Linked DNA regions of Oryctolagus cuniculus. The protein of the gene in region 2 interacts with the protein of the main gene of each other region in a pairwise test. Links are inferred from orthologs where the notes say so. Each region holds a gene or a part of one and is shown on either strand. Other genes may lie near its edges. The genes, in order: AP1M1, RUNDC3A, EIF3E, RAP2B, RAP2A, CCNL2 and SDCBP.

What was found.
Region 1: the proteins of RUNDC3A (region 2) and AP1M1 interact in binary tests that used the Homo sapiens proteins (3 or more experiments, as listed by UniProt). The two-hybrid records come from large-scale screens. The link is inferred for Oryctolagus cuniculus from reciprocal best matches to the Homo sapiens genes RUNDC3A and AP1M1.
Region 3: the proteins of RUNDC3A (region 2) and EIF3E interact in binary tests that used the Homo sapiens proteins (3 or more experiments, as listed by UniProt). The two-hybrid records come from large-scale screens. The link is inferred for Oryctolagus cuniculus from reciprocal best matches to the Homo sapiens genes RUNDC3A and EIF3E.
Region 4: the proteins of RUNDC3A (region 2) and RAP2B interact in binary tests that used the Homo sapiens proteins (3 or more experiments, as listed by UniProt). The two-hybrid records come from large-scale screens. The link is inferred for Oryctolagus cuniculus from reciprocal best matches to the Homo sapiens genes RUNDC3A and RAP2B.
Region 5: the proteins of RUNDC3A (region 2) and RAP2A interact in binary tests that used the Homo sapiens proteins (3 or more experiments, as listed by UniProt). The link is inferred for Oryctolagus cuniculus from reciprocal best matches to the Homo sapiens genes RUNDC3A and RAP2A.
Region 6: the proteins of RUNDC3A (region 2) and CCNL2 interact in binary tests that used the Homo sapiens proteins (3 or more experiments, as listed by UniProt). The two-hybrid records come from large-scale screens. The link is inferred for Oryctolagus cuniculus from reciprocal best matches to the Homo sapiens genes RUNDC3A and CCNL2.
Region 7: the proteins of RUNDC3A (region 2) and SDCBP interact in binary tests that used the Homo sapiens proteins (3 or more experiments, as listed by UniProt). The two-hybrid records come from large-scale screens. The link is inferred for Oryctolagus cuniculus from reciprocal best matches to the Homo sapiens genes RUNDC3A and SDCBP.

Annotation. Positions count from the first base shown.
Region 1 is NC_091447.1:64,736,438-64,739,937, reverse strand, and holds part of AP1M1 (AP-1 complex subunit mu-1), read right to left. Parts: intron 2,328-3,500; coding exon 2,197-2,327; intron 2,105-2,196; coding exon 1,957-2,104; intron 1-1,956. UniProt on the Homo sapiens protein: Subunit of clathrin-associated adaptor protein complex 1 that plays a role in protein sorting in the trans-Golgi network (TGN) and endosomes.
Region 2 is NC_091448.1:18,967,078-18,971,032, reverse strand, and holds the start of RUNDC3A (RUN domain-containing protein 3A), read left to right. Parts: upstream 1-1,155; 5' UTR 1,156-1,422; coding exon 1,423-1,529; intron 1,530-3,955. UniProt on the Homo sapiens protein: May act as an effector of RAP2A in neuronal cells.
Region 3 is NC_091437.1:133,416,678-133,420,177, forward strand, and holds the end of EIF3E (eukaryotic translation initiation factor 3 subunit E), read right to left. Parts: intron 2,889-3,500; coding exon 2,786-2,888; intron 2,245-2,785; coding exon 2,110-2,244; intron 314-2,109; coding exon 275-313; 3' UTR 130-274; downstream 1-129. UniProt on the Homo sapiens protein: Component of the eukaryotic translation initiation factor 3 (eIF-3) complex, which is required for several steps in the initiation of protein synthesis.
Region 4 is NC_091435.1:127,889,249-127,893,441, reverse strand, and holds the start of RAP2B (ras-related protein Rap-2b), read left to right. Parts: upstream 1-1,393; 5' UTR 1,394-1,863; coding exon 1,864-2,415; 3' UTR 2,416-4,193. UniProt on the Homo sapiens protein: Small GTP-binding protein which cycles between a GDP-bound inactive and a GTP-bound active form. Involved in EGFR and CHRM3 signaling pathways through stimulation of PLCE1.
Region 5 is NC_091440.1:14,994,598-14,998,097, forward strand, and holds part of RAP2A (ras-related protein Rap-2a), read right to left. Parts: intron 187-3,500; coding exon 1-186. UniProt on the Homo sapiens protein: Small GTP-binding protein which cycles between a GDP-bound inactive and a GTP-bound active form. In its active form interacts with and regulates several effectors including MAP4K4, MINK1 and TNIK.
Region 6 is NC_091438.1:164,147,183-164,150,682, forward strand, and holds part of CCNL2 (cyclin-L2), read left to right. Parts: intron 1-228; coding exon 229-322; intron 323-395; coding exon 396-482; intron 483-587; coding exon 588-942; 3' UTR 943-3,500. UniProt on the Homo sapiens protein: Involved in pre-mRNA splicing. May induce cell death, possibly by acting on the transcription and RNA processing of apoptosis-related factors.
Region 7 is NC_091437.1:83,752,871-83,756,878, forward strand, and holds the start of SDCBP (syntenin-1), read left to right. Parts: upstream 1-1,208; 5' UTR 1,209-1,348; intron 1,349-4,008. Other genes in the region: uncharacterized protein, read right to left, coding at 806-1,143. UniProt on the Homo sapiens protein: Multifunctional adapter protein involved in diverse array of functions including trafficking of transmembrane proteins, neuro and immunomodulation, exosome biogenesis, and tumorigenesis.

The DNA.
Region 1 (3,500 bases), on a different chromosome or scaffold from region 2:
TGGTCTGAGGCCCAGGGACGCAGGGGAAGAAGAGGAAACCGAGACCAGCCAGGGCCGTTCCAGGAGTGTGGGGCTGGGAAAACCATCGCGGCACGCACATCGACAGTGCAGGAAGACACCCGACGTGACCGCCAGCTTCCCACTCTCCAACTCTGCCTTTCAAATGAACGAGCTCGTGTTTATTTATTTGAAAGGCAGAGTTACAAAGAGGGAGAGGGGGAGGGGCGAGAGGAGGAGAGGGAGAGAAGAGGAGAGGGAGAGAGGGGGAGAGGGAGAGCGAGATCTTCCATTTGCTGGTTCACTCCCCAAATGGCCACAATGGCCGGGACTGGGCCAGGCCGAAGCCAGGAGCTTCTTCCGGGTCTCCCACGTGGGGAAGGGGCCCAAGCACTTGAACCATCCTCCGCTGCCTTCCCAGGCAGTGAGCAGGGAACCGGATGGGAAATCGGGCAGCAGGGTCTCAAACCAGCGCCGTACGGGATGCTGGCGCTGCAGGCGGAAGTCAACCTGCCACACCACACCGTCGGCCCCTAGGGGAATAAATCTAAAACAATGACAACAACAAAACACCCCTCAGATGAGTGAGTGTAGCAAGGCTACAGTCAACACAGAGAGCAGTCACATTCCTATACCCTTGTGACGTCCAACTGGAGGATGAAATTAAGAATAGACAACTGACAACAGCTTCAGAAATGGAAACAGCTCCCGCACACACCGGACAGCACACGTACAGGGCGACTCTCTCACTGTGTGACCAGCACAGAAACTGAGACGGCGAGCCCTGCCCAGGCTGTAGGTTCTCCTGGGACCACTGTCATACATGCGGTCACTCACCCAAACACTGACGTAGCACCTGGCCGTCTACAGCCACGTACACCCCCACCCCACCCCACAACAGACTGACAGGGTCTCGGACTGGGAAACGTGACACGATGGAAATGCCGAAGTTCACCAGACTGATCTACAGACGTGACGTGTACGCAATACCAATCAAAATTCAGCAGGGGGCCGGCGCTGTGGCACAGCGGGTAAACCTGCGGTCTCCAGCGCCTGCGTCCCATATGGGCGCTGGTTGTAGTCTCAGCTGTGCCACTGCCAATGCAGTTCCTTGCTAATGACCTGGGAAAGCAGCAAAAGGTGGCTCAAGTCCCTGGGCCCCTGCACCCATGTGGGAGACCCAGATGGAGCTCCTGGCTCCGGGTTTTGGCCTGCTCAGCCCTGAGGGGGCAGCAGAGACCACGTGTGGAGGTTCTATGTCCAGGTCAGGGGAATCAGCACCCATGTCTGCATGAGTAGAGACTCAGAAGGGAAACAAAGGCAGGGACCTGCGCTCAGGCGGAGCGGGCAAAGCCCCCAGGTGCACTGCCGGCATCCCATATGGGCGCTGGTTCGAGTCCCGGCTGCTCCACTTCCTGTCCAGCTCTCTGCTGTGGCCTGGGAAAGCAGTAGAAAACGGCCCAAGTCCTTGGGCCCCTGCACCTGCATGGGAGACCCGGAAGCAGCTCCTGGCTCCTGGCTTTGGATCGGCACAGCTCCGGCCGTTAAGCCATCTGGGGAGTGAACCAGCGGATGGAAGACCTCTCTCTCTCTCTCTCTCTGTCTCTCCCACTCTCTGTAACTCCACCTCTTAAGTAAGTAAATAAAATGTAAAATAAAAGAAAGAGAAACCTAACCACGCACAAAACAGAAAACAAGCTGTGAGGGAGGGCCGTCCTGTGACCGGGCTTTGTGGGAAGAGACAGGGAACAGGGAGCGACCACGTGGTGACACGCGTGCTGGCGCTCAGTGCTGGTGGGAGACACTAAAACCAGCTGCCGGCCACAGGGGCTGATCTGCTTCGCAGGGGACCGCCTGGCCCCCAGGGCTTCGCTGGCTGCACCATCCTGCTTGTGTCTGTTGCCATCACGGAGAAGAGGACACTCTCAAAGATGCACAGATGGACAGACGGACGCCTACCAGGAGGTTGACGGACTCAATGACATCCAGGAAGACCTCGTTCTTCCGGTACTTGATGCCCTCCGACCGCCAGGACACTGCATTGGTGACGGTGGCGGGGGGCCGCGGGGCCCCCGTTTCCAGCTTGTGGCCTTCCTGCGTGATGTACCTGTGGGGCCACGGGCTCGGGGTCAGGCAGGGGCACGGGGAAGAGGCCCCACCTGCTCTCCCACCCCCTCCCCCTCCCCGGCGCCCACTCACTCCTGCAGGATCTTGCTGTCGGTGGTCTGGGGGTAGCCGAAGTCCATGAGCTCATCCAGCAGCTCGTAGATGATGACGAAGTTGTCCCGGATGCTCTCCTCCTCCAGCTCCTTGAAGTACTCGGAGAACACCTGCAGCAGCAGCCGGCAACCGGGACAGCAGGTGAGCGCCGGTCCCTTGGCCCTGCCCGCCTCCCGGGGCTGAGCCGGGGCCCTGGGCTGGGACATGTAGGCTGGAGGTCCTCGCAGGCCCAGTCCAAAGCCCAATCACTCTCCCCTGCCAGACAGCACCAGGCCTGGGGCCCCTCCTCAGCATCTCCTCCAGACTGGGGCCAGCAGGGACTTGGTGGGGGCTGCCTCCAGCCCCACCCTGAGCTGCCAGGCTACCAGGAGGTATTTGAAAAAGTTCGCGGCAGAAACAGAACCAGGGCTGCCCGTTCTGCCCGGGAATTAAGCCACCCAGATCCAATACTGCTTTGATTCCTGGCTCTGGCTCCTAATTCCAGGGTGTGGCTAAGGCAGACCCTGGGAGGCAGCGGGCCCAGCTAACTGGGCCTCCTTAGAGCTCCTGGTTCTGGTTCTGGCCCAGTCCTGGCCACTGTGGGCATCTGGGGGACTGAACCATTGCATGGGAGTTCTGCCTCTCAAATTAATAGTTTTAAAAATTAAAACGGAATTAAAAGAGGTTCATTTGGGTACAAGAGGTTTTTGAAATCCATGCATACTTTTTTCCTGTTTTTTTTTTTTTTTAATTTTTTTAAGTTTATTTGAAAGGCAGAGTTAGAGACAGCAAGGTCTTCCATCAGCTGGTTCACTCCCCCAGTGGCTGCAATGGTTTGGGCTGGGCCAGGCTGAAGGCAGGAGCCAGGAGCTCCGCATCCAGGCCTCCTGCGTGGGTGGCAGGGTTCCCAGGACTATGTGCTGCTTTCCCAGGGGCTTCAGCAGGGAGCTGGGTCGGAAGTGGAGCAGCCGGGACTCGAACCTGTGTCCATATGGGAAGCAGGTGGTGGCCGTACCCACTGTGGTATGGCGCCGGCCCCAGTTTTTTCATCACACATTTTCTGTGGACTCTCAAGGCTGCTCGGCAGCTGTACACAGATGCGGCTCCCTCTGAATGGACAGTGAGCGGGGGCAGGGCAGGGAGGAGGGACAGGGCTCTGACCACCTGGATCTCTGTGCAGAGACCTGGGACAGGAGCATAGCTCCGAGACCGAGGCCCCCACACCCTCCCGGTCCAGGCCTCTGCACGGGCGGCACCGGCTGAGGGATGGAAGCCTCCCCGGCCCGGCGTGGGCCTGGTGCCCC
Region 2 (3,955 bases):
GCTGCAGACACCTCCCTGGGTACCTGTCTGAGGCAAATGCAGTGGTGGGTAGTGGTAAAATAAACGTATGGTTTTTGGTAAATAAAAAAATGAGTTTGGACCCTTATCTGATAATATATCCAGAAATTAACTCAAAATGGACCAAAGACTTTATGGAGAGTTTATAATTGCATGCATCACAAGACAAATGCAAGAGAGTAAAAAGGTAACCCACAGGAGAGAATATTGATAAAGCACACGTCTGGTAGGGGATTGATAGCTAGTCGATATAGAGAACTAAAACTCAACACCAACGAAAAGCAAGCAACCCAGTTGAAACATGGGCAGTGGCACGGGTTGAACAGAGGAACGGAGCAGGTGGGAGCAGGGACCTGGGGGGCCAGCTTAGGCCTTCCTCTCCCCTCTAGTAAAAGCTGCAACCTGTTTTGCAGGACCCGCCCGGCTTCCAGAGAAGGTTGATGGCATCATCCAGCAATGCTGGCAACCAAGGGGTTAATTGTTGAACCAGCTGGCCCTTGAGGTGGTGAGGGGTTTGGGTGCCACCCTCTCCAGTCGCCTAGGTGCCACCGCGACTGTGGGCGCCAGGAACCTTCGCAGAGCCAGCCCTTAGCTACCAGTCTTCCCCCAGTCTCCGCCCCGGGTGGTTCCCGGCGCTGGGCTGCTACGGCTTCGTTTGCATTCCCATCCTCCAGCCCCGAGGGAAGTTGGCTGCGCCCGGCCCTGAAGACAAGTCCAGCCTGGCCACAGACAGGCCTGGAGATGCGCAGTCCCTCGGTCGGCTCCTTGGCCTCCGGGCTCAGCAAACGCCATCCGGCCGCGCTGAGGACGTCCGGGCAGCCGGTGGGGGCGGGGTCGGGATGCAGGACCTCCACTCCCCAGGTCCCCCGGGGCAGGGGGAGGGGACGAGAGATAGCCATCAGCATCCGTCACAGGTCAGAAGCAGGAAGTAGGTGTCGCAGCCCAGAGAGCGAGCGGAGGACCCCCGGAGGTGGAAGACAGGTCCCCTGTTCCACCCTCGAATCTCCGCATCTCCCGGGGACCCCCTCGGCCCTCCCCGGGGCCCCAGACCTCCCCCTCCCCTCAACCCCTGCACCCTCTGCGGATTGGTCCCCGGCCTGCTGGGGGGCGGGGCCCGAGGGCCCTGACGTCACCGGCCGAGGGGGGCGGGCTGCTGGGGGAGGGGGGGTGACGGGACCGGCTCAGCACCTCGGAGAGCTCCCTCCCCGGCCTTGTTTTGCTTCGGAATCGCCGCCGTGGGAGGGAGCGAGGGGGCCGGGCACCTGGCGCAGAGGCAGAGGGATGGCCGCGGAGGGGTCGATGGGCTCCGGCGGGCTGAGCGCCCAGCCGTGATCCGGCAGGGGGGCCGGGCCCCCGGGAGGGGTGGAGGGCAGAGGGCGGCGGCAGCAGTGGCCGCACATCTGGATGGAAGCGAGCTTTGTCCAGACCACCATGGCTCTGGGGCTGTCCTCCAAGAAAGCGTCTTCCCGGAACGTGGTCGTGGAGCGCAGGAACCTGATCACCGTGTGCAGGTGGGCGCCGCCGGTCGGGGCAGAGGCTGGGCGGGCTGCGGAGCCCGGGCGGAGCGCGGCTGCCGCGGACGGGAGGGGACGAAGGGTTAGGAGGAGCGCACGCACCGCCTCCCCAGGGCCCGGAACCGAGAGGCATGGAAGCCGGTCCTTACTCTTCCCAGCCAGGCCAGGCCTTTGCCCGGCCTAGGGCCTGGAGGTGAGGGGGCTTAATTGGCACTGCAGCTTCCTGTGAACACCAGGAAGTGACATTGCGCGAGGGGGAGGAGTGGGGACGGCTGGCTCCCGGGCTGGGAGCGGGGGCGGACGGGCCGAGGGGCACCCACGGGGGAAGCAGCGCCCTCCGACGCACCCTCATGGCCACCCCCTGTCTGACCTCTCTCCACTGCCACGCGCAAATCCTGGAGGAGACGGCGCCTCCCCTACAACGGCAGCCATTGGCGGGGTCACACTGGGCTTGTGGGCAAAGCCCCCAGGCCCATCCAGTGAAGGGTGAGGGGCACTCCCGGGCTGTGAGGAGAACCCGGGCCTTGGGTCCCCAAGCCTGGTTCAGGCAGAGGAGACTGGGAGGGCAGGGCCGCTGGCCGTGGAGGGTGGGGCTGCCGCAGGATTGGGGAAGATTTGACTGCTTTCTTGGGCCCCGAGAAGGGAGCCTTCAGCCGTGCAGTGACTCACGGTCCTGTCCTGCCAAGGCTGGGAACGGCCAGCGTCTCAGCCCCTCTTCCTACAGTGCACCCATGCTCGTACGCCCCTCTCCCTCTGGGAGCCCCATGCCAGCTGCCTTATCCACCTGCACCCTCTGCCCCCGCTGCTGCCAGCTGGTGCCCTCCCAGAGCAGGGTGCTTGGTGCCCACCTGATGCCAGCACTCCTGGCTCCCACAGCTCCTTCCAGGTTCCTGGGCACACACCCAAGGGTACTGCGTCTGTCTCACACCATCGTACCCCAGTGCCAGGCACAGTGCTGTGTGCATCAGCCCTCTGGGAAAATGCCCGGATGTGATGGGAGGAAGGAGGGCAGCCCAAGTGTAGCCATGGCCTCTGCCCTCATCCTCACAGACCTGGCAGTGTGGAGCCAGACAGTCCTCAGTTCAAGCTCTTTCCTGTTGGCTGTGCAGTCTTGGCGAGGTCTCCTACCCTCTCTGGGCCTTGGGCACCTCATCATCCCCATCGCACCTGCGAGAGCCGCCCCAGGGCGCAGGAGTGGCATGCCTCGGAGGAGCCCTCCCGCACACAGCACCAGCCCTGTCCTGGTGACGCCCTTCCTGCCCCTGTCTCTGCTCTTGACCTCCTAGGTGCCAGGATGGCTGAACCTCTTGCAGGTGTGGGGGAAGGAGGGCTCTGGAGGACCGGAGGGGGCTAGAGCTGGGGGATATCCAGACCCTGACAAAGGCTCAGATGCCCCTCAGGCCTCTGCTGCATGCCTGCCGTCACATGGTTCGCCTCCAGCTCCCAGAACAGTTCCCGTTAGCAGGCCGCAGGCTCCCCTGGGCCCTGGCCTCCTCGTCTCCATGGTAACCCGCAGCAGCCACTGCACCTCCTACCAGGGCGCACACCATGGGGCTCCAGGGCCGTGACCAGCTCCGCAGCAGCCCTCAGGAGTCCAGCAGATGGCTGCCGTGCCAAATCCAGCCCCGGGCCCCCATGGAGGGCTGACCCAGATGACCAAGTGGAAGGAGATGCATCACGAGGCCCAGAAAACGCCCTGCGCACAGGCTGCCTTCCCGTGATGGCCCAGCTCCCTGCCCACCGGCAGAAGGCAGTGGGATCTGAACCAGCGTTAGTGAGGCAGATCCCAGCACCCTGCGTGCACCCAAGGACACAATTTGAATGCAGCAGGCTCCCTCTCCCCAATGCAGCCCTGACCCAGACCTGCCTCTGACCTCAGGCCGGTCCAACTCTAAGCCCACAGCGGGTGGGCTCGGGCTCAGCTATGCCATGGCCTGAGAGCCTTGGAAGCCGGTACTCCAGGGCTGTCACCTTGCAGAGTGCAGTACGGAGGGCAGAGGAGAGCAGGGTGATTGGTGACAGGCATCCGGAGGCCATAAGACATAGCGGCAAGAGCGTAGGCTTGCAAGTCAGATACACCCTGTGAGCTCTGTGGCTCTGGACACAGCAGTTGACCTCTTAGGGCCCCTCAGTTTCCTTATCTGTCAAATGGGGTTAGACAGACCCTGCCTCCCAGGGCCGTATTGCATGCATGGCACATTCCAAGGGGAGAGAAAAAGGACAGTTTCACACAGCTCCCGTATCCTTGGACATCCTGCCCCGCCCCTGCTCTGCCACCCGCGACAGGGCAATGGGGATGGCAGGTGAAGACTGCAGGGGTGGGAACAGCAGAGGGAGCCTCAGGTTTTTCACAAGGTTGGGAGAGGGACAGGGCACGCGTGGTTCCAGCGCCTTGGCCACACCGGCATCCCATGGCTCTCCCC
Region 3 (3,500 bases), on a different chromosome or scaffold from region 2:
TGTACTGTGCTATTGAGTAAAATGAGGTGAACAAAGGGGGACCCCTCTACTATTTTTACAACTTCCTATGAATATATTACTATTCTAAAATAAAAAAAAATTTGACACACAAGGACATTCACATCAAAATAAAATAAACCATGGCCAATTTTATTCAAATTCTCCAAAATTTATATTCAATATGTCATTTCTAAAATGTATGTCACTCTTTATACAATGGTTCCATTATTTCATCTTTATTTTGTAGTTTTTTTCATCTTTTCATTACAGTTCTTCAGTAGAAGCCAGAGTCTTGAGTTGCCCAGTTAGGAGCCTAAAATATGTAGAGAAACCGACAGGGTGAAAGAAAAATACTTTCCAAAACAGCCAATACAGAAAAAAGTGACATAACACATACTTTAGCACTACTACTGCCAAGCTGCTTTAAGGCTTTCACTTTGCAATCACTTAATATGAGTTGCCCCGTCAAAATGTCACCTGATACTGGGGCCTGTGTTGTGGCATTAGCAGGTATCCCACATGGGCACCAGTTCATGTCCTGGCTGCTCCAGTTCCCTGTCAATGGCCTGGGAAAAGCAGTAGAAGATGGCCAAGTGCTTGGACTCACTCCACCCACAGAGGAGACCACATAAAGCTCCTGGCTTCGGCCTGGCTCAACCCTGGCCACTCTTGGGAAGTGAACCAGTGAGTGAAAGACCCCACCCTGCTTCTAACCCTGACTTTTAAATAAATAGATAAATCTTAAAAAAACAACAAAAATTCAGGGTTGGTGTTTTGGCACAGTGGGTTAAGCTGCTGCCTGTAACACCATATTCCATAAGGATGCTAGTTGGAGTCCCGGTTGCCCTAATTCCAATCCAGCTCCCTGCTAATATGCCTGGGAGGGAAGTGGAGGATTGCCAGTCTTGGTTCCCTGTACCCGTGTGAAAGACCCAGATGAAGTTCTGGCCTGGTCCAGCACTGGCCGTTACAGCCATCTGAGGCGTGAACCAGCAGATGGAAGATTTCTCTCAGTCTCTCTCTCTTCCTCTCTCTAACTGCCTTTCAAATAAATAAAATAAACCTATATTAAAAAAAAGTCAACTGATACAGGTCTGCCCAATTAAAAAGAGAAACACAAACATTGGAACAATAATGGATAATGTTATATATAGAAAAATACAATATAAAAGTAATTTTCCAGGCTCAGCTATTCTTGGCCTTGGCTGGGAAATGAAATTCCTATTCTAATTCATCCTTCTCTTTTAAAGCTAAAGGACTAAGCTAAGGACAACCCAGCCCCTAAAATTTAATCTAGTAAGGCCACTGAATGTCCCATAACTGCTTCTCATGCCTTCCTATTCTCCAGTTACACATAATCATGTCTAAAGAGAATTAAAGATGGTTTTTGGACTCCAAAATTACAGGTACATTCAAGTTCCTTCAACACCTAACCGGGCTCACTACCAATACAGGGGGCTAATGGTTATTTTTGGGGTTTTTATTTTAACTTATTTGAAAGGCACGACACACAGACACAGAGAGATCTTCTATTTTCATCTGCTAGTTCACTACTGAAATGATTCCAACAGGGGCCCAAGAACTACAGCAATTAACTGCTGCCTCCCAGAGTAAACAGAAGGAAGCTGAATTGGAACCACAGGCAGGACTCAAACCCTGGCTCTCTGATATGGGAAGTGGTCTTCTGAGGCAGCAGCTTAACTTTCCGTGCCAAAATGCAGCCCCGCAGAACTATCTTTGAGATTTAAAGAGCATAACACTTATCATAGACTCAGAAGAGGACTACACATGAAAATTATCACTTGCCAATGTCAAAATTGTATGTTGAAAACCCTGGATATTAGTTAATGAAATCACACAGGAAGAGTAAAAGAAAAGAAAAATAGTTTAACTAGGAACATAATTTTTCCCCAGTTTCCTGACTAATGTATATAATAAATACAGGAAAAAATTGCATTTAGTCATTTCTTACATAAAACATTCATTCTCTTAAGTAGAAATACAAAGACAGATACAATGAATAGTAAGATGTTCTCAAATGGAGTTCAAGTAACAATTATGTTACACTATTGCTAAATTCCAGACAGAATCAAAATCTGTGATTCTTACCTCTGACCTACTATTCTGATTAAGTTTCTTCTCAATATTCATGGCCAACATCTGGCTTCTAAAAGAAAGGCTTTTGGTCTTTTCAATCACTTGCTGATAGGGTGAGACTGCATTGTTTCCCATAACCACGTGGCCCTAAAATGAAAACAGCAAAATTAGTCTTTTATTATGCTTTTTGAAGTTTTGTTGATTTATTTATTGGAAAAGCAGAGTGACATAAGAGAGGGAGAGACAGAGATCTTCCAGCCACCGGTCCACTCCACAAATGCCCATGAGTGAATTCAGGAACCAAGAACTCCATGCTGACATCCCCACATGGGTGGTAAGTCAAGTACTTGAAACATCATCTGCTGCCTCCCAGGTGCACTAGCAGAAAGCTTATTGGAATCTCAGGCATTCCAACATAGAATGCGAGTGCCCCAAGCAGAAGTTTGACGCACTGTGCCATAACACCCACCCCTGTGCCTTGTAATAGTAATAAGTCATGAGTATGACCTAACAACACTATGGCACACATTTTACCTATTTTTATAGGGATGACACCATTTATCCAGTTAAGGAAAAATGGGAGGTTATTGCTGCTGCCTAAAAATATGACATATTAAACTCTTAATTGAAGAAAATGTTCTAATTTAAAACTCCCAGAAGGATGAAACAAAATTAATATAATACTTACTAATTTGGAATCAATCTTGGCATCCAGTCTTGCATTCCTAATCAAATTCACAATCCACCTTTCAGCTTCTTCTGGAGTCATGTTCAGTTTATCTGCCAACATACTAATTAAAAAAAAAAAAAAAAAAAAAAAAAAAAGTTAAATGGGCCCTAAGAGTTACTTTTTGGTACACAGTGTTTGATCCATATTCTGCACTCAGACTTGTAGTTATTTCTAGGTCATCTTCTATTACATATCATGACTATCCGCATTGTTCATACTTATATTGTCTTGGACTGTCCATAACCTATTCTACTTCACCACATAATAAATCCCTATAGGAAAGGTATCATGTTCTGCATTTATGGAAACCCTTCCAGCTTCTAGAATAGTACCTTACACTTGGCAGGTGCTCAACAAGTAATGTAAGGAAGAAAATATTTTATGATATATAATGATTATATGACATATAATGATTATATACAAACAAAGTAAACCTTCTACAAGGAGCATCAGCATCTAGTGAAAAACCTCACTGAAACTCATGACTGCTGTGGAAGTTTCTGGGATAAATTATACTCTATAACCTATATGGCTCCTGAAACACACTCAGGAAGGGAGGATGTGGGATGAGGGAAGGGAGAGAGTGTGAGATCAGTCTCAAGACCCTGACCTAAAATAGGTATTGGAATCCATATTTTATAGTTTTCCAATTCATAATCAGATTGAAGAGGGC
Region 4 (4,193 bases), on a different chromosome or scaffold from region 2:
CTGCTGCCTGCCCACGCCCTCGCCCTCGCCCTCGCCCTGGGGCGCAGCTGCCAAGGCCAAGTCTGCTGGGCAGGTCCCGACACCTCTGCTCGGCCGGGCATCGCGCAGGCTCGGGGCAGGTCGAGGCAGCTCCCCAGCTCCTCCCAGGAGCGGGGACGCGAGCCGAGCCCAGTCCAGCAACTGCGCGCCCGACAGCGAGGATGCTAGGGAAAAGGCAAGCCAGGGCAGCCCCCCTAGCCCTCCAGCGCCCGTTGCTCATCGCAGCCCCGCCGCCCTCGCTGCGGAGCCCTGGCAAACTTTGCAGGTCCTCGCGCGCGGGCCACTGTCACCAGCCCCTTCTGCACCCTGGACGGGACAGTCGTGACCGGGCGAGTCAGACGCTCTCGAAAACAGCCACAAAGGGCTATATTTAGTTCTGCGCACCCCGCCTAAATTCCTTTTTTCACTCTCCGCTTCCAAACGACTGGGTTGGGGTGGGGGAGTGGGAGGAAGGGGGCGGGGAGCCGCGGAGAAGGAACAGCTGGGCCTCCACCTCGCCGCTCAATCTCTATAAATACCCAATCGCCGGCGGAGGCTACTTTTCAGCCAATGAGGCAGCCGCACCGGAGAGACCCTTGGCGGCAGCCAATGGGAGGCCCTTCGGGGGTGTGCGACTCACGTCCTGGGACCAATGAGTGCGGAGTCTGGGAGAAGTAATTTGAGCTGGCGTGTGGGTGTGAGCTGCACCAAGCTTCCTACTTCCAAGCCCCAAAAAACCTGCTCTGCCGACTGAGCATGCCCTAACTGCGGGCCGCCGGCACTGTCAGATCCGGGCTCCGGGTTTTGGCCGCAGCACAGTGGGGGAGGAGGTGGGCGGGACCCTCTGGGACTCTGCTGGGATGGAGCCGCGGGTTCCCCAGAAGCTGTTTGTTCTCGGATGGGGACAGTGACCCAAGGCACTAGAGTTACACCCCGTTCGCTCTGTCCCGGGAACTGGCGGAGCAGCGTTTCCGGGGACAACGGCTTACCAAGGGCTTTGCCAGGGCTTCGGGGGCTGCTCTGCCCAGCCCGCACCTGCAGCGGTCCGGTCCGCGGTCCGCGCTTCTGGCGGCCTGCACCGGCCTTTGGTCATGGGATTCCGCAAGCGCGCTCTCTTGGCTCGCCGGGCCTTAGCGCTCGCGTTCGAGCACGCCAAGCCCCTCTGCCGCCCCATTCCCCCGCAGTGTGCCTGCTGCAGTCCCACAAGCTCGCGTCGCCCCGCCTCCACTCCCGGCGACTCCGCTCGCAAGCCCCGCCCCCAGCCCCGCCCTCTCGGCTCGGCCCCGCAGAAAACCCGGAGCGGCCGCTCGGGCGGGGCGCGGCCTGCGGCGCACTGGGCATGCTCGCGCGGGCGGGGAGGGCCGGGCTGCGCGCGGCGAGTAGGAAGCCCTCGCCCCGCGGAGGCTGCAGGCGAGAGCGCGATGGGCCGCGGTGGTGGGCGCACGTTCCGCGGGGACTCATGCCACGAGTGTCCCGGTCCGGCGCGCAATTAGCAGCCGCCTCCGCAGCCCGCCACCACCGCTGCCCAGCGCTCGCCGGCTGCTGCGACGAGGGGCTGCAGCCGTCGCCGTGCCTTAGGCTGCCGGCATTGTCCTCTGGTCCGCCGCCGACCGCTGCGGGGCCCCGGACCCGCGCCCCAGGGACGCGCCGCCGCCGCCGCCGCCGGCCGGCCGGGCGCGCGGCCCCCGCTCGGAGATCCGCGCGCCCCGCGCCGCTCGGCCGCGGTCTCCCGGGTGTCTCCTGCGGCGCTGAGGCGGCGGAGCGGTCCGGCCGCCCAGCCCAGCCCTCCGCGGCGCGCAGCCCCGACGGGGCCGCGGCGGGCGCCTGGCGAGTGCTGACGGAGCCATGAGAGAGTACAAAGTGGTGGTGCTGGGCTCGGGCGGCGTGGGCAAGTCCGCGCTCACCGTGCAGTTCGTGACGGGCTCCTTCATCGAGAAGTACGACCCCACCATCGAGGACTTCTACCGCAAGGAGATCGAGGTGGACTCGTCGCCGTCGGTGCTGGAGATCCTGGACACGGCGGGCACCGAGCAGTTCGCGTCCATGCGGGACCTGTACATCAAGAACGGCCAGGGCTTCATCCTCGTCTACAGCCTCGTCAACCAGCAGAGCTTCCAGGACATCAAGCCCATGCGGGACCAGATCATCCGCGTGAAGCGGTACGAGCGCGTGCCCATGATCCTGGTGGGCAACAAGGTGGACCTGGAAGGCGAGCGCGAGGTCTCGTACGGCGAGGGCAAGGCCCTGGCCGAGGAGTGGAGCTGCCCCTTCATGGAGACGTCGGCCAAAAACAAAGCCTCGGTGGACGAGCTGTTCGCCGAGATCGTGCGGCAGATGAACTACGCGGCGCAGCCCAACGGCGACGAGGGCTGCTGCTCGGCCTGCGTGATCCTCTGAGGCGCCGCGGCCGCCACGCGCCCCCCGGGCCGCGCTCCGCGCACAAAAGCCAAACGCACCGACTCTCCCCGTGGGATTTCTCGTCCGGCTTTGAGATGGGAGACGACTTTGCAGTGGCCAGGGCGTCCCCAGGAGCCTCCCCCCCTCCCCCCCACGCTGGCCTCCACGCCCCGTGTCCGAGGGAGCGCCCCGTCCTGCCCAGCCGACACCGTGGTGGAAATTGGGGCTCTTTGCAGCATGTACGTTCCTCATTGATTTTGGTTGACGCCCGTTTCCTCCCCCCTCCCCCCTCCCCCGAAGGCGCAGTTATTGGCAGTCTGACACCCACCCGGCAAGCAAAAGTTTCAGCCTGGAAAAAGATGGGGGAAGGGGGGAAGGGAAGGAAGTGCCGGGGAAGGAGGAGGAGGGGGTGTCCGTTTTTGTGTGTGTGTGTGTTGGGGGGGTAACAACAACTGTTTTCTATTTCCAAGTTTTAAATACGTGGAAGGAAGTCCGGGAGAACCATATGAAGGAGCAAGGAGGAGGAAGAAACTTTTGTGTGTGTTTGTGTGTGTGTGTGTTTTTCCCTTGTTTTCCAGGAGTAGCTGGAATTTAAGATCGGGTTCCTTTTCTGCCAGCTTGGAAGGGCGACCCTGTGACTGATTGCGATTCTGAGGATGTCTATGCAAAGTTGGATTCTTGTTACAGTGTATCCAATCTGAAGTATTGCACATCTGAACTGGGACTGTTAACACTGATGCCAATACAGTGTGGGGTGCCAGAAAGTGTCTGCTGATATTTGTGGAAAAAAAAAATCTATTTTGTTTACCTACTGTATCAAAGGGGAGCCTGGGGGAGAATGGTAGTATTTTTTTTTATCAGCTGTGAAAAAAAATGTTACAGATCTGCACATTTTCTTGTGTACTATTTGTGTGTGTGTGTGTGCGCGCGCGTGTGTGTTTTATAAATTTAGCTTTTAGGTTTTTCTTTCTTTCTTTTTTTTTTTTTTTTTTTTTTTTTTTGGTTGGCAGTAACAGATTTTAATGACTTGCTTTTACAAATACAGTACCAGGACTTTGTCAATGTGATTCAGGGCCCCCAGCACCCCTGTGTCTGCAGAGTGCCTTCAAAACTCAGCTGTTCCAGCCGGTGCCAACCTGTGAACTTCCCATCATACCCCAGAATCTGCTATCCCCCAACCACTTCTCAGTTTCCTTTCAGTAATCTTCCTGAAGGAGCCAGGACAATAGGACCTGTTGTTCAGTGAATTTCTTTATTATTTTCAGCCTTTAAAATGTAATTGCCATGTTTTGCAATGGGTTTCTTTTTTTTGTTTTGTTTTCTTGGCTTCATTTTGTTCCAATGTTCAGGTATTTAGCTCCTTTTTTATATTATTTTTACTTTTTTTAATTATCTGTTATAGGGTGTACCTCCAGAAGCAAAGAGCAAAATTTTACTGTTGTGATGTACCAAGGGAATTCTAATTGTAATTTTTAATTCCATGTGTTTCATCATTGTCTCTTCGTTTTAAGACTTTTAATACAAATGTCATTTTAAAAGAAACAAACCCAGAATTATTGTTTGTGTTTCTGTGTTTCGTATTCAACGATTTAATGCAGTGTCATGGCTGAGTTGGACAGGTATAGGTGCATGATGCTCTCCAGAGTTGTTTGCCAAAATTTGAAGCTTGGTGACAAGCTGGTGATGTTACTTCTCACTTAAATAGGGAGGAGATCTGCCAGGTGTAGGAAGCCCTGGGTCTGGCCAGGTCACCTGACTGCCTGAGGAGCAGTTGTGCT
Region 5 (3,500 bases), on a different chromosome or scaffold from region 2:
GCATAGTTCATCTGTCTCACAATTTCTGCAAAGAGTTCATCCACCATTGTTTTACTCTTAGCGGAAGTCTCCATAAAGGGGCAGCCCCACTCTTCGGCAAGGGCTCTGCCTTCATTGGACGATACTTCTCGCTCACTCTCCAGGTCTACTTTGTTCCCAACCAAGATGACTGGCACTTTCTCATATCTGTGAGAAAAGAAACAGAAACACAAATATTGTAGTAGTTAGCACATAACAAAACAGAAAAAATGTTGTTCAGTTTTCACTATATTCTGCTGTAAATGGGCTCTTTAGTTGCATGAACAACTATTTGCACCCTTGATCTGACACCCACCTGAGAGCATTTTTAGGCTATTCATTTATACATTTTTTAAAAAGATTTATTTGAAAGTGAGAGTTAACACAGAGAGAAGGAGAGTCAGAGAGAGAGAGAGAGAGCTTCCATCTGCTGGTTCACTCCCCAATTGGCCACAACGGCCAGAGCTGTGCTGATCTGAAGCCAAGAGCCAGGAGCTTCATCCGGGGCTCCCACATGGGTGCAGGGGCCCAAGGACTTGGGCCATCTTCTGCTTTCCCAGGCCATGGCAGAGAGCTGGATCAGAACTGGAGCAGACACAACAGGAACTGGAAACTGGTGCCCATATGGGATGCCACACTGCAGGCAGCGGCTTTACCCGCTACGCCACAGTGCCATCCCTATATATCCTTAAAAAGCAATTTGCCTTTTCAGATACCTTTGGAAAAATATTCTCAGAATTTCAGGCTAAATCTGTAGGATCATTTAAAGTTTTTTTTCATTCTAAGAGCTGTTTACTTGAAGTTCCCAGTTGATCATGTAATAAATAGTTCTAAGTAAACAAACACAATTGTCAGAATATTAGTACCTTCTTTAAGTATCTAAAACTAATCATGTTCTAGTAAGTTCCTAAACAAGTAGTAGAAATCATAAAGGATGGAAACCACGAAATATAACTACACTTGATTCCTTTATAAAACTATTAGAAATTAGCTAGATGAGAGACACTGTTTCTTTTAAGACTGACAAGGATGACACACACTTTAATCATTAGCTTTATTTGATGTTATTTCTTTTTCTTCCTAACCAAAATTGATCTGAGTTAACATATTTAGAAGAAACTCCACTGATAAAGCTAATATGTAAGAAGAAAAGAACAAAACAAGTTCCTAAATCACTGAGGTACATTAAGATGGGGGCTCCACAATGGTTACTCCACATGGGCACAACAGACATCATGGAGTAAAAACAACTAGTTTGTTTATTCACTATTCTTGTTTGCACTTGTTCTAACAAATGTAGTTAACATATTTGCCCAAGATTATCATTTTTACATTAAAGATAGTTTTAGGAGTTTGGTCGGGTGAGACAGGATTTGGATGGCATTGTTAGCATTTAGGATGCTGATCAGATAGGTAGTTAACAATCCCCTCATCCTGTCAAGATGGTTTCACTTACCTAACTTGCACAACAAATCCTATTCCCCTTAGAACCTCACTTTTCCCTTTGACACTACATCAAACCAAGAATGGTGGTCCCAGTGAGTGAGGGCATGCTCCAGGAAGTATGTCATTTAGATGTAAACCATAATGCCAACTTAAAGACGAGTGGGAGTGACATCACCCAGGGTAAATCTAGACTTTGGGTATTATCACTTGCAAAAACAAATGAACCTGGACAGATCTAATTTCTATCAAACAGCTTCAACATGAATTTATTGAATACCAACTGTACCTTTTGATTTCAGCCTTAGATCATGCTGGTAGCTCTGAACATTGGACCCAAATGTTCTTCACATCTTCTAGGACTCTTACCTACCAATATGTGTACCCCTGGCCTCAGGCAGGGCGAATGGCAGTGAAAATGAAGCTGTGTCATAAAACACCATGTAGCAGCTACTTTGCATGCAGGCTCCCTTGACGTGCTGTACAGAGGAGCTTGGCAGCCAGCTTACACTGCCGGCTGTGTCAGAACAATGTCAGTTTTTAACTTGTTTTACTTGCAAAGATGTAACTGCACTGCAGTTTTCTTATGAGTATATACATAAGAGTATGCTTTGCTTGGCAGTGAAGTAACTTTTTTATATAATTTTTTATTTATATAAAGTGAACAAATTTCATGTATTTCATATATACATATATTGGAGGATAGTAGTACTTCCTACCCTACCCTCTCTCCTGCTCCTCTCCTCCTTTTCTTATTCTTTTAATTTTTATAATGACATACTTTCAGCTTATTTTATAATCATAAGCTTAACCCGCCACTAAGAATTCAAAAATAGTAAGAAGAAAAAAACACTGTTCCTCAATGGTGAAGACAAGGGCTGTAAACAACGATCAAATCTGAAAATGTCAATTTTACTCATATAAACATGAATACAAAGGGGAAATTGTACTAGTTGAATTTAATTTCAATCTCTGTTTACCATTCAAAGACCAAAAGAGGTAAGAGGTAGGAAATCAATTAAAAGGAAAGTGATATGCTATCACTTGCTATTATTAAGGAGTAATATTTCAAGGAAAAATTTTTTAGTTTAAATATAGTATTAAGCAAGGGGTCTTCAAAAAGTTCATGCAAGATATATTATGAAAAAAGGGTGGATTTCAAGATTTTTTTGCACAAAGATAAACTTTTTAATGTTTGGTACCATAGTTTTCAAATATATATATTTAAAGATTTTTATTTATTTCAAAAGCAGAGATACAGAAAGAGAAGGAGAGACAGAGATCTTCTGCTCACTGGTTCACTCCTGAAATGGCTACAATGCTGGGACTGGGCCATGCCAAAGCCAAGAGCCAGGAGCCAGGGTCTTACATGTGGGTGGCAAGGGCCCAAGTACTTGGGCCACCTTCCACTGCTTTCCCAGGCACATTAGCAGGGAACCAGAGCATGCGGGACTTCCATGGGTACCCCTGTGGGATGCCAGCACTGCAGGCAGAGACTTAACCTTCTATGCCACAGGACCAGTCCCTTTATGAATTTTTTTTTTAAAAAAGAATTATTCATTTTGAAAGAGTTGGAGAGAGAGAGAGAAATATCTTCCATCCACTGGTTCACTCCCCAGATGGCTGCAACAGCCAGCACTGGGCCAGGTCAAAGCCAAGAGCCAGGAGCTCCATCTGGGTCTGCTATGTGTGAGGTGGAAGGCCATCTGCTGCTTTCCCAGGCCATTAGCAGGGGGCTGGATTGGAAGTGAAGCAGCCAGGACCCAAACCGGCGCCTCTATGGGACACCGCCATCACAGGTGGTAGCTTAATCTGCTATGCTACAACCTTGGCCTTCTATGAACTTTCAAAGTATCTTAGTAAGGAGGAAATATTTCTTACACTTCTATTTTCAAAGGATCTATCACATATGTGGATGCTCAAACCTTACAAATTTATTAACAGCTGTAAATACACTGTTTAAATCAAGAACTTGAATCTTGGCAACAATGTGAGTCTCAAAAGGGCAATTAGACCAGTATAAGCACAGGGCTGTATGT
Region 6 (3,500 bases), on a different chromosome or scaffold from region 2:
GGGTGGGCGTCCCGGCGGTGGCTCGGTGCAGCACGGTGCCCCCGCTGAAGGGCTCGTCACTGGCGCCACAGGTTGATGCTGGCAGTCAGGACGCCCACGGCCCGAGGGGAGCCGGTGCGCATGTGTGAGCACGCACGCACGCACGCACCCGTCCAGGCTGGCAGCGGCTGCGCTGAGCTGCTTCCTCGGAGCAGTTTTCTGAGTGGTTCTCATTGTGCTTGACCCCAGTGGAATCCCCCAAGGAAGCCAAAGGGAACCAACCCTCCCCGCCGCCCGTCAAGGACACCAAGAGGAGAGCCAAGGCCGACAGCCCGGTGAACGGGTAAGGGGCGGGGCCGCCGGTGCGCGGGGCCGGCCGCGGGCGCCGTCTGCAGCCGCTGCACTGCCGTTCACAGCTTGCCCAAGGCGCGCGGGAGCCGGAGCCGGAGCCCGGGGCAGAGCTGCTCGCCGTCCCCCTCCCGGTCCACGTCCCCGAAGAGGAGGTGCGTGCCCGGCCCGTGGGTGGGAGTCCCCCAGGGTGGCTGGAGGTGCTGTGGGAGCCCTGGCCGGGTCCGGCGGTCACACGGGTGGAGTGTGCCCTTCCTCAGGAAAAGTGACAGCGGCTCCACGTCCGGCGGGTCCAAGTCTCAGAGCCGCTCCCGGAGCCGCAGCGACTCGCCGCCCCGGCAGGCGCCCCGCAGCGCCCCCTGCAGGAGCTCCGAGGCGCGGGGCCCTCGGAAGCCCAAGGACTGCAAGTGCCCCCCCCAGAAGCCACGCAAGTCTCGGAGCCGCAGCTCCTCCCGCTCGCGAAGCCGCTCACGGGAGCGGGCAGAAAACTCTGGCAAATACAAGAAGAAAAGTCGTTACTACCGAGATGAGCGGCGGGAGCGCTCGCGGTCGTACGAGCGCACAGGCCGTCGCCACGATCGGGGCCGCCCCGGGCACAGCCGGCACCGGAGGTGAGGCAGACCCGGACCTGCCCAGGCCCTCGGCTCCAGCGGCCTGAGCGCGGTTCTGGTTGGAAATGGTCTTTGATGCTGGACCTTGAGGTGAACCTGGACATGGCATTGAGGAGCCGGGTGGCGCCCCTGTGCAAGGCCCACCTCGGCCGGACCCCACGGGCAGCTCAGCAGAAGAGCAGGGCGCAGGGCCCTGTGGGTGTGGCTTGGTGCTAACGTCTGGCTGTCCCCCTCCTGACCCGAGGCCCGGTGGCGACTCCCGGAGAGCGGCTCTCGGGCCCCTGTCTGCAGTGTTGGGGTGAGGCATCGGCCTTAGCCCCTCGGGCTCAGCACGCGGTGGACAGGCGTGTGGCACACAGGTCAGAGCCTCGTGTGGACGCTCACTCGGAACCCGGACTGGGCCGGCTGAGCGCTGGCCCACGTGGGGCATCCTGATCTTTAAGACGAGAAGGTACTTGGCTCCGTGTGGAGCCGTCTGTTTTTATCTGCAGTGCTGAGTGCGGGCACCAGCTCCTCGAGTTTGCTACGTGTGGATGGATAGACTACTCAGGACATGCGGACACTGAAGACTGGCCGCCGACATGCTGGCCTGTCCAGTTGGCCCAGCTGGCTTCCACTCAAGGGCCGTGGCAGCTGCTGCCCGACTCCCTGCTCATTAAAGTGTTGGCTTTGTCCTGAGCCGTCCTGTGCCTGTGCCGCTGCTCGGCCGTGGGCGGCAGCTGAGGCCCCGACGGAAGTGCTCCGAGGTCCAGGAGTCGCAGCCTGGCTCTCCCCATGGCACCTTGGTGGTCGCCTCCCAGGACGCACCTCTGAGCAGTGGCCCCAGGGGCCTGGGGGGCAGCGGTGGGACCACTGCCCTGGGATCGGGTGCAGGGCCGCGGCAGCAGGCCCTGGGGAGTGCCAGGAGGAACGAGGCAGCCCAGGGAAGGGCCGGCGGTCTCCGTGTCATGGTCCTGGCAGGCACGGCACCAGGGAGCGTGGCTCCACACGCCGGGAGCACAACACGGGTGGCCCACCCCGGGGGCCCTGGGCAGGCAGCCTGTGCACCGAGGCACGTCTGCGGGGCGGCCATCCTGCGGACCCTGGACACTGCTGCTTGGCTCCCGCTCCCTCCCTCAGCTCCACCCGCCGGCTGCCTCCACTCCTGGCCTGGGCTCCTAGGCTTGCGTGCGGCCTGGCTGGGGGCCCTGTGGGTCGGGGTCCAGGCCCTGAGCAGGCTGCTTCGCAGCCCCAGTGAGCCGGCTTCCTGCTGCCCTGTGGGAGCTCCCGGGCTGGCCGACAGCACCTGGGCCGGGGCCCCCAGTTAGCTCCTGCAGTCGCCTCTTCCCACCGCTGCTGATGCGGGGGGGCCCGGGGAGCACCCCGAAAGCCGAGCCTGGCTGTGCCTTTCCACACTGCTCAGCGAGGCTGCGGGCACCGGTGTGTGCAGGGGGAGGGGGGGGCCCACCGGCCAGGGCCTGCAGGGGAGGGGCCAGGCTTGGGGCTCTGCCGCCCACGTGGGAGCCTCAGCTGGAGTTCTGGCTGTTGCGGCCATGTGAGGAGCGACCCAGCGGATGGAAGGCTGCTCTGCCTTTCAAATAAACGTTTATAAAAGATGATACGGGGGACCGGCGCCGCGGCTCACTTGGCTGATCCTCCACCTGCGGCGAGGGCACCCCGGGTTCTAGTCCAGTTGCCCCTCTTCCAGGCCAGCTCTCTGCTGTGGCCCGGGAGTGCAGTGGAGGATGGCCCAGGTGCTTGGGCCCTGCACCCGCATGGGAGACCAGGAGGAAGCACCTGGCTCCTGGCTTCAGATCAGTGCGATGCGCCAGCCGCGGCGGCCATTGGAGGGTGAACCAATGGCAAAAGGAAGACCTTTCTGTCTACCTCTGCCTGACAAATAAATAAAAGATACAGGGTAAGCCTCGCCACATGGCCGCCGTTTCGAGTCCCGGCGGCTCCACTTCTGATCCAGCTCCCTCTAACGCGGCCGGGACCCCGCACCCGCGTGCGAGACCCGGAAGAGGCTCCCGGCTGCGGATCGGCCAGGCCCTGGCCACTGTGGCCACTTCGGGAATGAAGCAGGGGATGGAAGATCTCTAACTCTGCCTCTCAAATATTTTTTTTAACAATTCTTTTATTTCTTTTATTTTTTTGACAGCAGAGTGGACAGTGAGAGAGACACAGAGAGAAAGGTCTTCCTTTTGCCGTTGGTTCACCTTCCAATGGCCGCCGCGGCTGGCGCATCGCACTGATCCGAAGCCAGGAGCCAGGTGCTTCTCCTGGTCTCCCATGGGGTGCAGGGCCCAAGCACCTGGGCCATCCTCCACTGCACTCCCGGGCCTCAGCAGAGAGCTGGCCTGGAAGAGGGGCAACCGGGACAGAATCGGGTGCCCCGACCGGGACTAGAACCCGGTGTGCCGGCGCAGCTGGGCGGAGGATTAGCCTAGTGAGCCGCGGCGCCGGCCCGCCTCTCAAATATTTTAAAGATTATACTGAAGACAAAGGAAATACTCCTGCCGGAGCCCGCATGGCGGCCGGGAGCCGCCGTCACCCTCCCTCCACGCAGGACTTCCCCGCGGC
Region 7 (4,008 bases), on a different chromosome or scaffold from region 2:
AGGTCAGGAGCGCCACTGACCAACCGCGGACTGGGATGTGAGCTGATTATACGCCTCTCAGCTCCAATTTCAGTCTACGAGAACCTTCACCTCTAAGTGCTTGAGAGCCTGGAAATTGAGCAACAGCTTGTCCAGCTCCTCGCGCTGCACTTAGCAGTACATACCTATTTTCATCTGCCACCCCAATGTCAGTGGTTGGCTTTCTGCGTATCAGGCAAGCGGACCCAGGTTTGGGGGTTCTATAGCAACTTCGGGGTTGTTCAGCAACATACCCTGCAGCTTTGCTACAGTTGTTTATTAGCTTGTGTGTATGAGTCAGTTCTTAGGAATTTTATCACAATCATGTTAAAAAAAAAAAGTGTTCCCTTCCCAAGCTACTGTGTGATTGTTTTTAAATGTTTTTCACATCAGCTAAACTATAAGCTCCCCAAGGGCAACTTTATTACAGGTCATCACTTCTGTGCCCAGATTTTTATTAGTTACCAATAAACTTCTTGTAAATTAATGATATTTTGTCAAGGGCTCTGGTATTTCAAAGTAACTGATTACTCTGCAATGGGTCGTTGGTACCTATCTTACAGTTCGATGTAAAGATTAAATAAGATTATATACATTAAGTTCTTGGAATAATGCCTAGCTCATAGCACTCAAGAAACGCTAGTTTTTAAGTTTTTGTGTTAGGCTACAGCTATCATTGCACAATATTACACCTCTTTAACAACAAACGTTAAAAGTAATAAAAGCCCAAACAAAAAACCCAGATAAATGGGGCAGGAGTTAAGAAAGGGTCTTGGGAGGAGTTTACCAGCAGGGTACTGTGACTGCTGGACAGCAGTGACGGAAGCCGGAAGCTGGGCAAGGAAAACCTTCCAAGAGGAAGGCTGGCTTCTCGGTACCTCTTTGTATTAGAAGCCAACCAGGTGACCGCAGGCGGGGGAACGCACGCAGTGAGCGGGTCCCGAGGTCTCCTTGAGCATAAGGCGACGGGACCGCAGAGGGCAGACTGGGCATCCTCGCTGGGCAGTCTGGCGCCCCCGACGGTGGGCGGTGCGGGCGGCCAGACGTTTGTGACCCTTGGAACCCCAGAAGAGAGCCCCCCACGCTCCGCCCCCGTTTCCATGGCCCCGCCCCACCCCCCGCCATCCGGTTTCCACGGGGACCGGATCACCTGACCCGGCGCCGTGCGCCTGCGCGGGCCCGAGGCCCCGTGGGGGGGGGGGCGGTGCCGTGACGCGCCTGGCGGGCGGTCCTCGGGCGCGCGCCGCTCTCGTTTTCTCGGGTCTCGGAAGTCGGCATCAGTGATCGAGGCGGCGGCGGCGGCGGCGGCGAGCGAGTCCTTGTGGTCTAGGTGAGCAGCTTTTGGGAACGAGGGGGAGACGTCCGCGCGACACCTCGGGCTCGGGGGACAAGGGACGTGGACCGCTCGGGCCACTTAACGGAAAGCGCCCCCGTCACAGCGGTTTTCGGGAGGCGGCGGAGGCAGGACGCCCGCTCTTCGGGGGGCTTGCGCGTCCTTCCCTGCCCCCAGCTGGGCCTGAGGAGGGAAGTTTCGGGAGCGGCGCGCTCCGTCGGAGTCGGGGTCCCGCCGGACCGCGGGTGGGGTGGACGGAACCCCGAGGCCCCCGCTCTTGGCGGCGCCCGCAGCCCCGCGCGGCTCTGGGCTCTCTTTCCGGGACGGGTTTCTGGACCCTTGTTGTTCCTCGAGAGAGGGGCTCCGGAGGTGGGTGAAGAAGGAGCCGCTGGGCACGGAGCCTCCCGGTGCTCGGCGTTCCTGGGGCTGTACTCAGTCACCTTCCTCGGTGGCTCGCCAGGAACGCCCGGGCTCCGGGAGGGGAGAGGGCGGTGTTTGTTCCGCGGGCGAAGCCTTGACTTTGTGGAGGGGGTGGGGAAGCGGTCGCGGCTCCGCGCCGGGTGCTGGAGAAGTTGGAGCCGAGGGAAGAACGTTTCCAGTGGGGTGTGTTCGGAAGGAAACACGCGTATTTCCTTTGAGATCTGGTGACTCAGAGCTTTCGTTTCGGGATTTCCTTGGAATAATGGGGAAGTGCAGGCAGTGTGGATATGGAAACTTTTTCCTTTCACCGCGCTGGGATTACGGAATCATTAGCGTCTTCTGTTGTGTGATTTTTGAAAGGACCTTCTAGGGTTACCTGGTTTGACTGTATTCTATGCTTAAAAATTTACCAGGTTTTTTTTTCTTTTTCTTCCCGTTAAGGACGTTACTTAGAAAGTACATTCAGTTTACCAAATTCTTAAACATCCATTTGTTTTAAAGAGAAAACTGTTGGATTAAAAAGGGAAAGTCGAAACGCAGCTGCAGGCCTTCTAATTAGATTGATTTCTAAAAGTCTGTGTGATCAATGAGAACTCAAATTTGTCTAATCTGGTCAGTTTCCTATTTTGAAGTTTAGTGCAAATAGAAAAAAAAATTGTTTTCACCTAATCTGTTACTCAGCTCTGTAAACTTTAGTGCCTTAAAGGGTACATAAACCAAGTGGTTTGGGTTACAGAATAAACAAAAGGAAATGACGTTTAAAAAGTTAAGTGAATGGTCACCTCATCCTAGTTCAAATTTAACTCTGGCAACATTAATTTTAGTTGTTTTGGGTATTATAAGAAACTATAAAAATCAGGAACGAAGGGGAAATAATTTGCTGATGGTTGACACTTGAATGTACTTAAAACAGTTCTTTGAAATGAAGAGTTACTCAACTATTTGTTTTTCCTGTTTTTTTGAGTTTGGGGAACTTTTTAAAGGTAAATGCCAAAAGACTGTGAAAAGACTCCCCCAAGCAACTTTGAAAGAGTTCCTACACCTGATAGTTATATTGTCATTTATTTCTTTCCAAGTGCTGCCAACTTTTTTTTTTTTAATTTATTTCCTCGTTGAGGAGGTAGGCAGTCACTGACTCAGGACTGCCACAGTTAAAACAGTATCCGGTTTAAAAATCTCCTGTTTGTGTCGTCTAGCCAACCGTATTACTTTATGATAGGCTGTCCGCTGTTTTCAGTTTCTTGGATTTCGTCCAGAGATTTTATTCCTGTGCAGGCGAATGTCCAAATATATTTCTTTCCTTTCAATGAGCCAATTAAAATACTTTATATACTGCTGTACATCATGCATTTATTTTCCAATCAAAGTATTTTGGAACTCTTAGTTTTGTGCATGTTGCTTCCTTTGTGCAAATGTATATTTAGGCTGAAGACTTGAAGTTATATGACCGGGTGGGAGGGAATCTGAATTTATAATTTTCATAGATACCGGGCACCCATTGTTCATGAAAATTGTGTGTTTTTTTTTTTACACTCCCCAAACTGGTGATGCATAGGTGTTTCTCAAAGCCTTGCATCAGCAAGTGTTGTTAAACTGGGTTTTTGCTAGTCCTGTAAGTCAGAATGGGAACTTCCTGTGGCTGGATTGCTCAATGGCTGATCTGCAGAATCCCCCTGGATATTTGTTAAAAAGAAGAGTTCTTAAGTCCATTCCATGAAATCTGTGTCAGCCTGGGAAGCTATTTTTAACTAATGCCCCAGGTGATTCTAATCTGATGATTGGCCAAGTTTGGGAAACAGTCTCTGGAAGATTGTTTAGGGCTTTATCAAGTATTGCTTCTCTGCCTTTTGGCCAAGTGTAGGACTTCGTTAACTGTGTTCCTCAATACCAATGGGAACTATACTGAATCTTACCCTCAGCATGCTAGAAATCATCATCATCACTTTTTACCGTCTAAGGCCAGTGAACACGTTTTACATTTTTATGCCATTTCATGAATTTGTCTAAGTGAAAGGAGATAATACTGTTTTAGAAATTTTGATAATTTAATTGTAAAAATGTTAAATTTTCTTGGTTTTGAAGATAAATGGACAGCATTTTTTTTTAATTATTTATTTGAGAGGTAGAGTTACAGACTGAGAGGGAGAGACAGAGAGAAAGGTCTTCCATACACTGGTTCACTCCCGGAATGGCCGCAATGGCTGGAGCTGAGCTGATCGGAAGCCAGGAGCCAGAGC